Lepisosteus oculatus: one gene and its partner. The protein of the gene in region 1 purifies or fractionates together with the protein of each later gene. This does not show direct contact. Links are inferred from orthologs where the notes say so. Each region holds a gene or a part of one and is shown in the gene's direction. Other genes may lie near its edges.

Region 1 (7,243 bases):
TTTTTTTTTTCCCTTACAAAAGGAGGACTTGTCAGCTGCCCAAGCTGTTTCCAGGAACAAACATTCTTTTATGCAACATTAAATTAGTTTTTTTTTCCCCACAGAGCTTTTCACTAAATCATACATTTGTATGCTCGCAATATAAATGCTCTGCTTCAGGAACTTAAACAAGCTAAATCCTTATCCAGTCAAAGCTATTATCATCTGGCCTACCTTTAAATGTGACAGGATGATTTAATGCACACATGAGCCTTGTATTTGTGTCCAGCTTGTACAGTATGTCATCCAGGAGGTTTGATGGGAGATGTAGTCTTAGAATTTCCTTTTGCTGTTCCTTCAATAACCAGAACTCTCCTTTTTTCTTTCATTATTCAGGGAGGCGACAATGAAGTCCACAATATGTAGGGTCTTAGAGAAAAGCTATACAGTATATGATGTTTCATCCTATTGTGCCATCTTTAAGATTAACAACAATTAAAAAATCCAGGACTTCAGAAGAATGCACTTCTGATGGGGTTTTGTTAATGTGCATCTGGAGGAGGTCACCATACACGTTGCACATTCTGAACAATTTTGTACATTTTGAACCAGGTAGCTGATATTAATCACTGAGCATTATCCAAGGACACCCAGAAATGTCAATCTTCATTTATTTCTGCAGCTTTGTATCTGGTTTTCCATTGGAATGTGCTGCTTTAAACATCTTTTGTGCTGGCACTGTCTTAAGCTGGTAATGGAGAGGAGAATCTGAACTCTTTTGTTCTACGAATTGAAAGAGCCTTTGTTTTGTTTTGTCATGCTTTTTTGTCAAATTCTGATGTGCTGTTTAGATGCTGCACAGAAGACACAGCATCTTCCCCTTCTGAAAGATTAAAAAAATCCCTTAGCATCTGTAAAATCAATTTATTTTGCACACAGTTATGTGCTAACAATTTTCTTTAACTCATTATCAAATCTTCGTAGTTATTCCACATCAATTGGTACCTTAAACTTCATATTTACTGTACATGGGGGAAAGTATTTCTGATATGAATGTGTTGCTAGTCAATGGCATTTAAAACAAAAGCTAAAAATGTCAAACAAACCTGATATAAGGTTGTTTTAAATGAGGGGGGAGGAGTAGGCATCAGGTGGAAGATTCCACATCCTTTATTTTTCCTTCAAGACTTTAATAATAATCAATTTGGCTGATAATGTCATTCAAAGCAAATTGCATTTGTACCCACCTGTACAGCAGGAATTGTTGTTTCCTGGTGAAATACAGGTCAATAATCTTGTTCAAGAATAAATTAGTTCTGCTCTACCCAGGATTTTAACCCCAGACTTTCCCTTTCTGAATCCAGAGCCCCAAATCAGAGGAGATCCTTACAGTGGTGTCCCATTACTGACCTCTTTAATACTGCAAAGGCTAAATCATTATTGTGACACCTCTCTGCTTTAACCTGCCAATCGCAGCACTTTCTGTTTGCAGAAGAATGTCTGTACAGATGTTAGACAACTTGATGGAATGCCAGCAACTGGGAGGGCAGTACCAAACTGCGATAAAGATATCTCAGTACGGGGTGGAAACAATGGACTCCATTCTTCCAAGTGGCACAGCTCAAAGCACTACAGGTCTCGCTAATATGTGCAGTTATGCCTCAATTCAAAACTTTGGTGATTCACAGTCACATTTCTTCACCCCAGGAAGTTTTACAATCCCACATACCAGTTTTTATGGGGCAATAATTTCTTCATAAATACATATTTTCCCATATACTTTTTTCTGGTCTTTTATTAATAATAATAATTCCTTACACTTAGTGCTTTTCTGGACACTAAGAGAGCTTTACAGGTAATGGGGAATCCCACTACCACCACCAGTGTGCAGCCCCACCTTGATGATGCTCCAGTCCTCTCCCCACCCTAGCTCTCAGTGGGGAGGAGAGCAGATTGATGAAGCCAGTTCAGAGATGGGGATTATTATTAGGAGGCCTTTATTGGTAAATGCCAATGGGAAATTTGGTCAGGACGCCAGGGTAACACCCCTACTGTTTTCGAAAAATGCCCTGGGATTTCTAATAATCACAGAGAGTCAGGACCTTGGTTTTGTTTCTCATCCGAAGGATGGTGACTTTCTGCAGAATATTGTGCCCCGTCACTACACTGGGACATTACACGCAGACCGCAGGATGAGAGCCTTAGTTTTTCCCAGGGGTCTCCCATCTAGGTACTAGGCGCACACCTGCTTGCCTTTTGTGGGTTATCAGTTGTGATTTACAGGGTGATATGGCTGCTAGCCATATTTTTGTATATACAATACAAATATTTGTAAAGTATAGTTTTGTGTGGTTCATAGGTTATTGGTAAACATATCCCTTCATTCTCCTTCCTAAGATTATCACCCAACAATACCATAATCCAATGAGGGCTGTATTCTTTGTCTTGTGAATTGAATGTCTTGTGTAACCAACTGGAAAATACAATATATACTGATGGAAAAAAGAAATGCACCACCTCCTCCTCCACACTCTGGCCCTCCCATCTACGTGGAACAGGCTGAAGAGCGACTCATCCATGAAGAGGACCTGATGCCACTGCTGACAAGTCCATCGCAGCCTCTGTCTGGCCCAAGCCAGTCAGATGCGACGCCTAGGAGGTGTGAGCAGAGGGCCTCTGACAGGTCGCCTTGCTCCAAGACCAGGAGCATGGAGCCTTACTGTCCTGTCACTGATGCGGGCATTGTGTCTGCCAGTAGTTTCAGAAGCAGTATGGGTGGCAGATCTGAAACGATCTCTCAGATGGACCAGTCTGATTTGTCGGTCCTGCTCTGGTGTGGTCACTCGAGGGCGACCGGATCTTGGACAGTCATCTGTCCTCCAGGTCACCTGAGACCTTCCCTGCAGTTGGGACACAGTGGAGCAGCTTACTCCATAGTGTCTGGCAATGGTGACACATGACATGCCAGCCTGCAGCATGCCAATGTCCCTCTCCCTTGCTTCTGGTGACATTCGAGGCATTATGGAATGCACAGAAAACTGACTAAGTGTGGCCTTTTTCTTGTAGTGACCTAAGCTTTGAATCAAGGCCTTTTTAAAAGGTGACCTGATCAGGCATTGATCCACCTGGCCCTCGTTGGGTAAAAGTGCACCTAACGAGCTTTCATGTGATTGGCAATTTGCAATGCCTCACTGCAAAAGCTGTATTGCTGGTCAGAAGGCTTAAAACAAATTGACAACTTTTTGTGAAAGTACATACTATAGTATTCTCATTCCAGAAAATATTATGTTTCTTTTTTCCATCACTATATATAATTTAGAAAACAAAACGGGTTAATTGTTTAATTATATCCATCAGATTGGAACAAAAGAAGACAAGTTCACCAGAACCTGACTTTGAGAACCCTGCCTTAAAGAAAAGTTTAGGTACAGTATACAGTATAATCATGTCTTGCGAAAAGGAAGATAAACATTATTATTGTATCACTATAATTCTTCTAAGTAAAGGCCATTTTGGAAGGGACAATTCAAGACCAATTTCATCACATGGAGTACAAATCACTCTAAGAAATCTCCCCTTATTCTCTGCTTCAGCAGTAAGGCAGTACTCGAGACCAGACATGAAAAACTGCTTTCAGCTAAACAGCCACAGTACCGATCTGTGAAATCCTTCTTAGTGACCCCTAAAAAGCTCTTAACTACGTTTTCCGTCCTTTAAATTGTATCTTTACGCAGAGTTCCTCTGGTCGTAATATATTTTCGGACAGATTAACCGTGGAGTAATATTCAAACACCGTAAAGTCCATCTTTGCTTTAGTAAATGACAATCGAGCCGCATACTGTACAGATTTTACAACTATGCCTTGTCATCCCCAGTTTTGCGGAAAGATACAGTAAATGTACAGGAGACATTATTAAAGTATTCTTACAAGAGCGGAAAAGGGGGTTATGAGTTTAGGAAAAGCTCAGGCTGAACAGATGTAGTCCTTCAACACTGTCAAGACACTGAAGAACCGTTCGTCACAGAGAAAACAGTGGGCAGAACAGAAAAATAAAAGAACTTCTAACTCCTTTTTGTTCTTTGTTTTGTTTATTTCGAGAGAAATGCAATTAAAAGAAGAGGAGATAAAACGTGGGAGGCAAAAAAAAACTCGCATCGACAGCTCATTGGTCTGAGTCGAAATTCAGCTGCCTGGAGCACGCAGCGTGAGCGAGCGACGGACTAGAAAAAGCAAAACCGCAAAGAAGTTTTCTGCGCTCGAAACAAACGCTCGGCGAACTGTGTGCGTCCTGCTCTTTATGTGAAAGTTACCGGTGGAAACATCCTTAAAAATGCCAGTGGCAGGCGGAGCTAAATGCATCAAATATTTGCTGTTTGTCTTCAATTTCATTTTCTGGGTAAGTTGCCGGTTTGCTGATCTTTGGATGGAATGGAGTTAAGTTTTTCGGACTGTCCGCTCAGACAGGTCATCATACTGTAGATCTGATGGACTGGGGACGATAAGAAGCTCGCTGTTGGCACACATGGCTCTTTCTGTGTTTAGAGGAAAAACAGCAACCGCATACAAGAAGTGAGATCTGAGAGTCGCGAAAAAGATTCACACCGAATTTAGGAAAGCATCTGTGCTTATTTTGATATAGCGCTGTATTATTTTGTGTGTCTGTAAGTGAAGAGGCGTAACTTTTAAATACCTTACTGGGGACGCATAAAATGTACGCCACTGAAACTCTCATATTTAAATCGTCATTTTCCCGGAGATAGTTTTTGAACGGACGCAGTTCTTTTGTTGAAGTGAAAATGCTACAGTAAATCAGGCGGCTCCGTTATCTGGGATTAGGAGCTTGTCGCCTTCCTGTCATTTTGATCAGTAATGTGCGACACTGTGGGTTTTTTTTTAATTCCTGTTTGGCACAGAATAGTGATCGTGTGCAGTGTTCATTTCAGTGTGAATTTTTACCGTCGATTTGCAGATAGATACTGTACATCGGAGGAGGCCGAAAAGATGGGGAAATGGTGAAGTTCTGTAAAGCGTATTTTCATTAATTCGAAGGTGTTGGATTAGCATATCTCTGTAGCCATCATATCCTCTTTATTTCGTGCAGTAGTTAGTCTTATTTATAAGGCGAAATCCCTTCTCCCATTGAATGCATTTACAATACACTGTTTATCAGATAATAAAGAAACAAGTCCAGACGCCTGCTATACGATTGCTTTTAATCTGTAGGACTATAAATAGAAATTGCTAATCCCTTGAACAAATTAAGATTACAAGGCCTTCATTACTGTTGGGTGTTTCCTGTAGACAGCCATACATCTGTAGTTAAGGAGTTAAATGTGTGGTTTGACAGTGATCAAAGGCAAACGTCTAAATTCCTTTTTTCTCTGTCCAATATTTAAGCATATTGTAATACTAAAAAAAACGTGTTTAATCATCAACAACGCCATCGTTTGTTTGTTTGTTTTTTGGTTTGAATTAATCAGAGCTGCCAAAAAGGTAAAATATCAACTTCCAACAGTCAACAACAAAATCTTCAGTCTACACATTTCTCCTGTTCCTGTTAAGACCCGTGACATGACCTTTCATAGACAGATTACTCCGAGTGCAAAAGATTAAAAAAACCGATGTGGTACTGTTTGCATTGAGATCTTTCAAGTTTCGAAACTGGCTTCTCTGTATGATTTATTACAAAGAAAACCAGACACAATACTGCTGTTTTTTTTTTTGTTACAACCTAAATTGCATTAAAAATGAGGTGTATTTATTAATAGCTTCCAAGACATGAATGATCATTCGTAATCCTGATCCAGTTTATTACTATAGAGCTGTTTATTACTTGGAGAGATTAAGCACTTTACCACAATTGTGTGTATAATTCAGCTTTGTTTTGCTTTTTTAAGTGTTTTCAGATATTGAAAGTTTAGAAAGGTTTCGAAATGAGCCCCAAGATATCATACTTGGTTTCAAAACATCCTTCACATAGACATCTAGAATTTGCACTGTTGGGTTCTTGCAAGAAATAAAAAACTGTTTTTTTCTTACTTGTTTACATCATTGTTTGGTCATCTACCGAGAATTGTTTGGACAGCTCTAGTGGAACCAAAAAAAAAAAACAGACAGAGCAGTTCTATTTGCAAGGTTTCTTTTGCCGATAATACACTGTGACCACAACCAAGTAAAGAGTGAAGAAAACACTGTTAAAATCTAATCAACCAAACAGTTAAATTACTCAATAAAAATAATAATTGAAGTAAACTATGTAACAGAACATTACCACAAAAAGACGATCTTGCCAACTAACCAGGAATGGTGCCTTTTGGTTTTTTACCATCCCATATTTCCTGTATATTACCATATATTCCTATGAAACTTCACCTGGATTTCTGGGCCCACTAAGTTAAAAGAGGACTGTTTCTGTTCAATCGATTTTTTGCACCTGGGTGTCCTTCTGCGTGGAGTTTGCATGTTCTTCCTGTGTTCTTGTGGGTTTTCTCCGGGTGCTCCGGTTTCTTCCCACAGTCCAAAGACATGCTGGTAGATTAATCGTGTTCTTGAAAAACTGGCCCTGGTATGTCTGGGTGTGTCTTGCGATGGACTGGCATCCCAACCACCCCAGTAACCTTCTAACGGACAACATGGGTGAGAAAACGGATGGGATGGTTTCCTTCCGATTTATACGATGGAATAAGTAAAAAATATGCCCCGTGCTGTAGAAGGAACCGCAGACCATCTGCTAGTTGCTCATCCCTCGGTTTTGCAAATCTAATTTTGCGTAAAGAGACTTATGAATCAAAGCACGAGATGCGGGAATCTCCCTTCGGCGGTTTGCTTAGTGTTGGAACTCACAGTGCACATACAGTGGGAAAAGGTCAAGGTTGTTGTGCAAGTTGAGTTCATTTCCTTTTTGGTGCCTTTTTAGTGCCTTTCAGGACTGGTCTCAGTGTTGCATCATATGGTGTCATGGGCTCCATTACTTAAGTGTTGTCCTTGCAATCGTGGCTGATTAGCCTTCTTCTAAAGAAGCTAGTGTTGGAATGAAGCAATGTACAGTTACTCACCAAGGGAAGTTGAGTGTTTGCTGGGCCAATCATGAAATCTCCAGATCAGATGCTCTCGGCTGGGCTACATAGAGTACAAACAGCATTGTTAAAAAGTGTACAAATGAGCACGCAAAAGGTTCTGCACGTGCCGTTTGAAGTCGGGCCGATTACGAAGCAGCACTGTGGCGTGCTTTGCGAGATGGAAAAGTAAAGCACGTGGGCAGAG
Region 2 (7,712 bases), on another chromosome or scaffold:
GCACCTGCGATTCCTGCATCGTCTACACTGAAATAGACACTGAAATATAAATCTAGCTATTGCTTGATGTCAGCTACAAAAACATCTTTCATGTCCTACTGTGAGTTCTAAAGCCCTAATTACTGTATGTCTGTTATTTATCTTTCCCTTCAATCATGTTACCTTGTTGAACATCTATTCTACTCATTCTGCAACTTGAGCGGAGCTGTAATTCTTATTTTCTTATTTCAAAAGGTTGTGTACTAACATTTGGTGTTAATATTACTCAGTCTCTACATAGAGAAATCTATGTATTTTACCTCTTCACTATAAAAAGGGTCAGAAAATGCCATTCATGGTTAAATTAAGTGGAAACGTAACAGTATCACATGTGCTTGGATGAACAAAATAATATATATTGATGGAAAAAAGAAACGCAACATTTTGTGGAATGAGAATACTAAAGTTATAGTTTATGTACTTTCACAAAAAGGTGTCAATTTGTTTTAAGCCCTCTGACCAGCAATACAGCTTGTGCAGTGAGGCGTTGCAACTTGCCAATCACACAAAAGCTCGTTAGGAGTATTTTTACCCAACGAGGTCCACGTGGAACAATGCCTGATCAGGTCACCTTGAAAAAGGCATTAATTCAAAGCTTAGGTCACTGCAAGAAAAAGGCCACACTTAGTCAGTTTTCTGTGCATTCAATAAAGCCTCGAATGTCACCAGAAGCAAGGGAGAGGGCCATTGGCATGCTGCAGGCAGGCATGTCATGTGCCAGCGTTGCCAGACACCATGGAGTAAGCCGCTCCACTGTGTCCCGACTGCAGAGAAGGTTTCAGCAGACCAGGAGGACAGATGACAGTCCAAGACCTGGTCGCCCTCGAGTGACCACGCCAGAGCAGGACCGATACATCAGACTGGTCCATCTGAGAGATTGTTTCAGATCTGCAAACCGTACTGCTGCTGAAACTGCCGGCAGACACAATGCCCGCATCAATGACAGGGCAGTGAGGCTCCATGCTGCTTAGATCAAGGCAACCTGTCAGAGGCCCTCCGCTCACACCTCCTAGACATCACACCCGACTGGCTTGGGCCAGACAGAGGCTGCAACGGACTTGTCAGCAGCGGCATCAGGTCCTCTTCATGGATGAGCCACTCTTCAGTCTGTTCCACGCAGACGGGAGGGCCAGAGTGTAGAGGAGGAGGTGTTGCATTTCTTTTTTCCATCAGTATATAGTTCTCTACTCTTAATTATCTGTACTGCACAATTTGAGTAAGCTACAGAGCCAGCATCTGAAATTCGTATTTTTCCGAGGTATGTTTTATACATGTGTAATATTGTGAAATGCCAATGTGTCTCCAATGTCAAGAGAAAACAAGGTACTATCCAAAAACTGCTCAGAGCAATAAACTATAATAATCTTATAAAAGCTTCTTCAACCTTCACTAGTAGAATTCAGGTGGGAGCTAAAGCTGTCTCATCAGACTATACTAATAGAATTCAGATAGCAGCTAGAAGTACTTCATCGGACCACACCAATGGAATCCAGCTGTACTGCAGCTGCTTTATCTGACAGCACAGTTAGAATTTGACAGAATTAGGGTAAGGTAAATAAACACAGCCCAGGTAGTCAAAGAACAGTTAACCTGGGCAACAAATGAACCACAGAAGACAAAAATAAAATGTAAACCACATGTAATATTACAAAAATGACATAACCAGATGTGGAATCATCATTATCATCAGCATTAAATTCCAGAAAAGTTCTGGTTTGTTGCTACTGATTACTTTTTAATGTTTTGCAACATGTGAAGTTGTGTTTGTAATGAGAAGAAAGGGATTCATTTGTGATGACATGCAACTCCTGTCACACTGACTTTGTGCCAGTTGTAAATAAGCAATGGAGACAATATACAGTAGTCTAGAAGGGTCAAACTGATCATAATGTGTTTTGAAGCATGCAATTGATTTCCACCCAAATTATATCACTATTAAAGTGTTCACACAAGAAAATGTTATTTGCTTGAAGATAATTCCATGCTAGCATGCTTCATACTAACAAGGGGGGCATCTATGATGTCCTGAGAGCTTGAAGTAAAAGTGTTAGGAAATACATCTGTACTGTATTACAAAAGCACAAAGAATTTGGTTTTAGGGGAGGAACAGAGGAATGAGACTGAGAACAGCAATTCAAAAGTATGTGCAGAACAAATAAAAGATTAGTCCACACTGATGAGTAGAAAGAAGAAACACAACATTTCAGCAGTTGAGCCTTCTCCAGCCTTCTCCTTCACACATGAAGAAGGCGAAACATGAAGATGAACCATTGTGTTTTGTCTGAATTAGTTCACTAACTAGAACTGAATTGAGATTACTGACATAATTGAGGAAAACTGGGGCTCCAAATACTGATCCCTGAGGTACTCCAATTGGAGCATTTACCAATTAGCTCTAATCTCTGTTTCCTGCCTATTCACCAGTTCTTACTCAAAGTACATGCATTACCTTGAATCTTTGTCATATGCAATTTAAGAATTTATCTTTTATGATCGTTTTCGACAACCTTCTGAAATTACAAATGGATGATACCATAAGCTCAGTTTCTATCCATTATTGCTGTTGCGCTTCATAAGAAAGGGTTTCTAAGAAAGCAACATCTTGTAAGTTAGTCTTTTGCATTCTGGAGAATGGACAATTTTCACCAGACTAAAAAAAAAGGTTGCTATATAAACAATTATGGGCGAGGCAGAAGTAGGAAGAACAAAGATATCAACATCAAATATCTCATTTTAAAGGAAACAGTGAAGAGGGATTTTTAAGATATGAATTGCAATTGAAACTTAAGATAAAGAATCACAACATTTCTAGAATGAGAACTGTTATACAAGTAGGTCAAAATGGAAAAACAAAATGCCTTAATGTTTACACTTCTTAGTTCCAAGAGTATACAGTATGAATGGAGAAATCTATTGTACTATGCTGGGTATAGAGTATACACTACAATATAGATGTTCTAAAGTTCATGTCTTGGGTTCTTTTCCCGGTGAATAAATAAGAAACACACTGACATACACAGTAAAGGAACAAGTAAAGGTTTATTCCACGCTGAAAAGAGAAGAAAAGAAACACAACAAAGCACTGCAAAAGGTAAAACGTATCACAATTTGTGACACTGTTTTGACTTACGAGAGTACGAGTAAAACATATTGTAACCAGAATAAATGAATATGGTTTTGGAGTCTTTTTTTTCTCTTTATGGAAGAATTGCTGCTTGCTAACATGATCTTATAAGATTTCAAAAGCGAAGCAGGGTTGGGTTTGCTCAGTATTAGGATGGAAAACGACCTCTAGGGAACAAAAGGACACTCATAGCCCGGTGGGCAGTTCTGTTCCTTGAGCAACAGAATTTCCTATCCAATGCTTCTGTGTGGCCACTGTGCTGAAGGAAGTATCATCCTTAGGGAGAGATGTTAAACTGAGCTCCTGACTTCTTGATCATTAAAGATCAAATGGCACACTGAGTGAGACTTCTTCATCAGCTGTGTAGTGGGACTGCTAACACATAATGGCTGCCATGAGTCAACATGAGCACTGCACTGCAGTGGTAGATGAAACTCTCCTCTCTCATCCTAGCGTTAATCCCGCATCAGCAGGGTCCGCTTGTTGGCACCCCTGTCTCCATTTGGTGGTTTGAACCTAATCTTTGAGCTGACGTTGCCGTTAAATGCGACCGAGAATACTCCAACCGGCGCGTCGCTCTGCCTGCCGTCAGAGGGGGGAGGAGAACAAAGTAATGTAGCCAATTCATAGAGGGGGATTATTAGGAGACATGGGGAATTTGGCCAGGACGCCGGGGTTACACCCCTACTCTTCTCGAGAAACACCCTGGGATTTTTAATGACCACAGAGAGTAAGGACCTCGGTTTTACATCTCAACCGAAAGACGGCGCTTATTTACAGTATAGTGTCCCCGTCACTATACTGGGGCATTAGGACCCATATGGACTGCAGGGTGAGCGCCCCCTGCTGGCCTCGCAGTGGTAGATTAAACTGTTGCCCTCAAATATGTAAACATAGATAATACTTTATTAATCCCATAGGAAAATTGATGAAATTGATTAAACATACTCTTTTGGGAAAAAACACATACAAAAGTAAGGAGTTCTTATTAGAAAACGTGTTTGCTTTGAATTACAACAAAACCTATATTTCCAAGAATATTAAGAAGTGCAAGATTGGTATACAGCATGGTGTGTCATATTCCGATTGATCACTCTCACTGTTGCTTTATCTTTTATTTGTTGCTTTATTGGTTTGGAGGACCAAGAAAAATCGCAAAAAATACCCAATGCAGAGTGATTAAATAAAGAAGTTAACATAATACAATAACAGATACAACACTAGGCACAGCAATTTATACGGTAACCGGATAGTGAATCTATTATTTTCACTTCATATTTTCAATCAGAATCATACCATAATGATGTAAGAGCAACTGAACTGAGGTTATGCGCATTTACAGCTACAATGAAATGCAGAATTTTGGCTGTTACATGCGCGTACCCAGATTTCCGAGTTTTCCCAAGGACAAACCTAGCGGAGCTCATAGCGAATGCGTACAGGTCGAGCTTGTCCAACGATGACGTGTTCGGTATTTCCTGTGGGGGCGGGTCGAAATACAGAGGATGGCCTCCTCTCTTTCTTGTAATCGTGGGAGGGGGTTAGCACGGCTTTAAGGTCATTTTTCATCGTGTGGGGATTTTGTAACTTTTTTAAAAAATACAGTTTTCTTAATAACCAGATCGTGTTGTTGGGCGTAGGTAAAGAGTCTTTTCGTCTGAAGGGTGTAAAATGGAATAAGAAGACAAAGGGGACACATTTTTTGTTTGTTTGAGAAAAGTAGAGAACTAAAGCTTGTTTTTTTGTAGTAAAGGGGAGAGATCAGCTGGATATTTTTGAAAGAAGTGCGAAGGACCATCGATTCCACATATGCTGCATTAAAAACGAATGGTTTAGGTTCGTTCAATGCGTTTTAAGGTAAGGAGGTGTCAATGTCTGCTTAAAGTGCTTGTATGGATATGAGTTTTCGTCTTGTAAACTCGTAAGCCAGTGATGCATACCTGGTGTGTTATATACATATTTGCCGTGTGAATGAAAATGTCATGGTGGGTTTTATGCGGGGCTTTGTGTTGAACTCGGGCGCATGTCTGCACAAATCTTCTTGCCCTGAAGTCCTGGAATGTGATTTGTATATTTTGCGGTGGGGGTGGGCGGGTGGAAGAGCCGTAAACGCCGATTCTACGGTGGTTAAAAGTATTGTGGGATAAAACTGTGTCGTTAGTGCAATATTGCAGCTTTCCCCCCTGTGTTGTATCGACTGTCTGTATGGGGTGAGTACATCCGCTATCCGGTATCGGGGAGGCGCTGGCCCGGGCCCGCATTCCCGGCGGAGAACAGCAGGGAGAGACCAAGTCTTTCTTCGGGAGCCGATCCCCGGATAACGCCACAAAAAAAAAAAAAAGACGACAGACTGGCTTCTCGCCTCGATTCACTTCATGTTTGTAAACCCCATCAAGTGTTTTCCGCGAAGTATACGAATGAAAGATCTTGACCTGCCCTGCAGTAATAAGTTTCCAGAGGGAAACTGGGATGTGTGTTTTACATTTGCCCCTATGGACAGGGTTTTCTTTTTTTCCCCTCAAACTTGTGAAATGTCCTTTTACAGGCGTTGCTTGTTTCCCCCTCTTTTTGCGAATACATCTCGAATTAGTAAATGGTTGAAATGCAGCGTTTTACTACGTTTTTACGCGTTTTTTCTGAAAGTAATAGCCTCTGGCTACAGCTAATTTAGGGAGTGCCTCGTTAGCCAGCAACAGTGCTCCGATTGAGGTTTGAGCTTAGCTCTGCGGCTATTTTTTCAAACCTCTTATTTAGGCGATGCCAGGCGGCTGGGAGAGCACAAAGGAGATGGCGCGTCCGGACGGCCCAAGGAGCAGGCTCTCGAGTTATTCTTGGCACTTAAAGCACTGACAAATAAGGCGAGCTGACTGTTCCGGGGGGGAAAAACACTCTCGGGAACGTACCCGTTTGAGGATACTCGAACGTGGCATTTTCGGTTTTTAATTTTAAGGGAGCGTTAGACGGAGAGGCTGGATTTTTGTATCCCACGTTTAACTCGACGCTCGGAATTTTCTGCCTTAAAAAAAGTAGAAACGCTCGCCGTAAAAGTGGTTAGATCTCACCTTTTTTATTTCGGCAGACTGACCTCATTGCGAAAACAAACGCGGTGGTTAGGAAGACATGCGGCTTAGTTAGACCACTTCCTTATCGCTGGGGTCTCAGGATCAGGGGTTTCAGTAGCTCTAAACTTCTTACTGTAGTCTTGCTGTATGTAGCACCGGTTTTGCTCCATAGAAGTCTGACCATGTGGTCAATTTTCACTTTCTCCATACCACTCAGTTAAGCTTTGTCTTCCTGAAGTTGAGGTGGAATGATCTTTGCCTTATCAGATGTGCAGAATACACATAAACCAAAGATACTTTAGTTATTTTGGTTTACTGTAAAAAAACTTTGGAACAATGACTGCCTGGGTCTTTGGCCTTAGAGGTGTAATGTCCATTGTATATACGCTTCAAAAATGGGCTCTCTTGTTTTTAAATATGACACTTTTTTCATGTTTCTGAACTCGGTATTTAATTAGGTGTTATAATATGTAATTTATCATGGCACATAGAAACACCTGGTAATCATTTAGGTAGTAGGCCGAAGATCTTCTCACTCCTGACCATAATTTGTTTTGTAATCTGGAAGCCATTTGGCCCCTCTTGCTTGTTTGGTAGTGAGTAGCTAATTTATGTGAGGGTTCTTGATATTGGCTTTAAAAGCCCGACAGGGTAGCTTTTTTTAGACTCTCACAAGCCTTGTTGTCTTATGCTGCAACATGGCCTTTCTCACAGGTTAAATTGTGTTGTTTCTGTCGTTGTTTAAATTATATACATAAGCACTGTACACTGTCGGTGTAATTCCCGACAGGATAAACTGCCGCACCGTGGCTAAGGTATTGATGTCTTTTTCCCAGCAGTTGGTTGGTTAACGAGAGTACCCGGTGATCACCTCAGGGCTAACATATTTGGGCGCCGGATGCTTGTGGTTGCAGCCACTGTGCATGAAACTGTGCCAGGCTAGGTGTGCCCCCTTGCTTATTCATTTCCAAAGTACAGCATAGCTCAAGGGTGTGTTACTCTATATGTTGCAGTAAGGCGCATCTGTAAATGATTAGCAGAACTGCGAGCTACAAGCATTTATCAAGTATCTGCAGTGCTATTTCCGAATATAAATATTGTCGCCATGTGGTTATCTTTCTCAGGAGAACATAAATAATTCATATGCTGTAGGAACAGTCATTTTCCGCAATACATTTTTTGTCCTCTGCGTCCAGACTGATATTTAGTCATATCCTAGTCCGCCTTGTTTACTGTTTGAGTGAAAGATTGAATTTATTTCCTCTTTAATGTTTATTATATATTTTTTCGGCTGACTTCTTTAAATGAAACTATTAAAAGGCAGTCTTCTGTTTTACCATTTTTGACACAATATCTTGAAGGGCATTGGTTGTCGTGAGACAGACTTTTCATAGTGCCTTTAACACAGTGAAGAAAGCAGACATTTCTTATGTTTATCTTTTGATTAGAAAGAAGGATTTAGGGGACTATGAAAGGTTATGATTTCT

Evidence for each region. The genes of interacting proteins can lie anywhere in the genome.
Region 2: the proteins of cd9b (region 1) and integrin beta-1 purify together in Homo sapiens (co-immunoprecipitation; 5 studies listed by BioGRID and IntAct, with this or other methods). This does not show direct contact. The link is inferred for Lepisosteus oculatus from reciprocal best matches to the Homo sapiens genes CD9 and ITGB1.

What each region holds. Positions count from the first base shown.
Region 1 is NC_090702.1:4,148,051-4,155,293, forward strand, and holds the start of cd9b (CD9 antigen), read left to right. Parts: upstream 1-4,175; 5' UTR 4,176-4,310; coding exon 4,311-4,376; intron 4,377-7,243. UniProt on the Homo sapiens protein: Integral membrane protein associated with integrins, which regulates different processes, such as sperm-egg fusion, platelet activation and aggregation, and cell adhesion.
Region 2 is NC_090701.1:39,147,093-39,154,804, forward strand, and holds the start of integrin beta-1, read left to right. Parts: upstream 1-4,652; 5' UTR 4,653-5,008; coding exon 5,009-5,020; intron 5,021-5,278; exon of another isoform or gene 5,279-5,373; intron 5,374-7,712.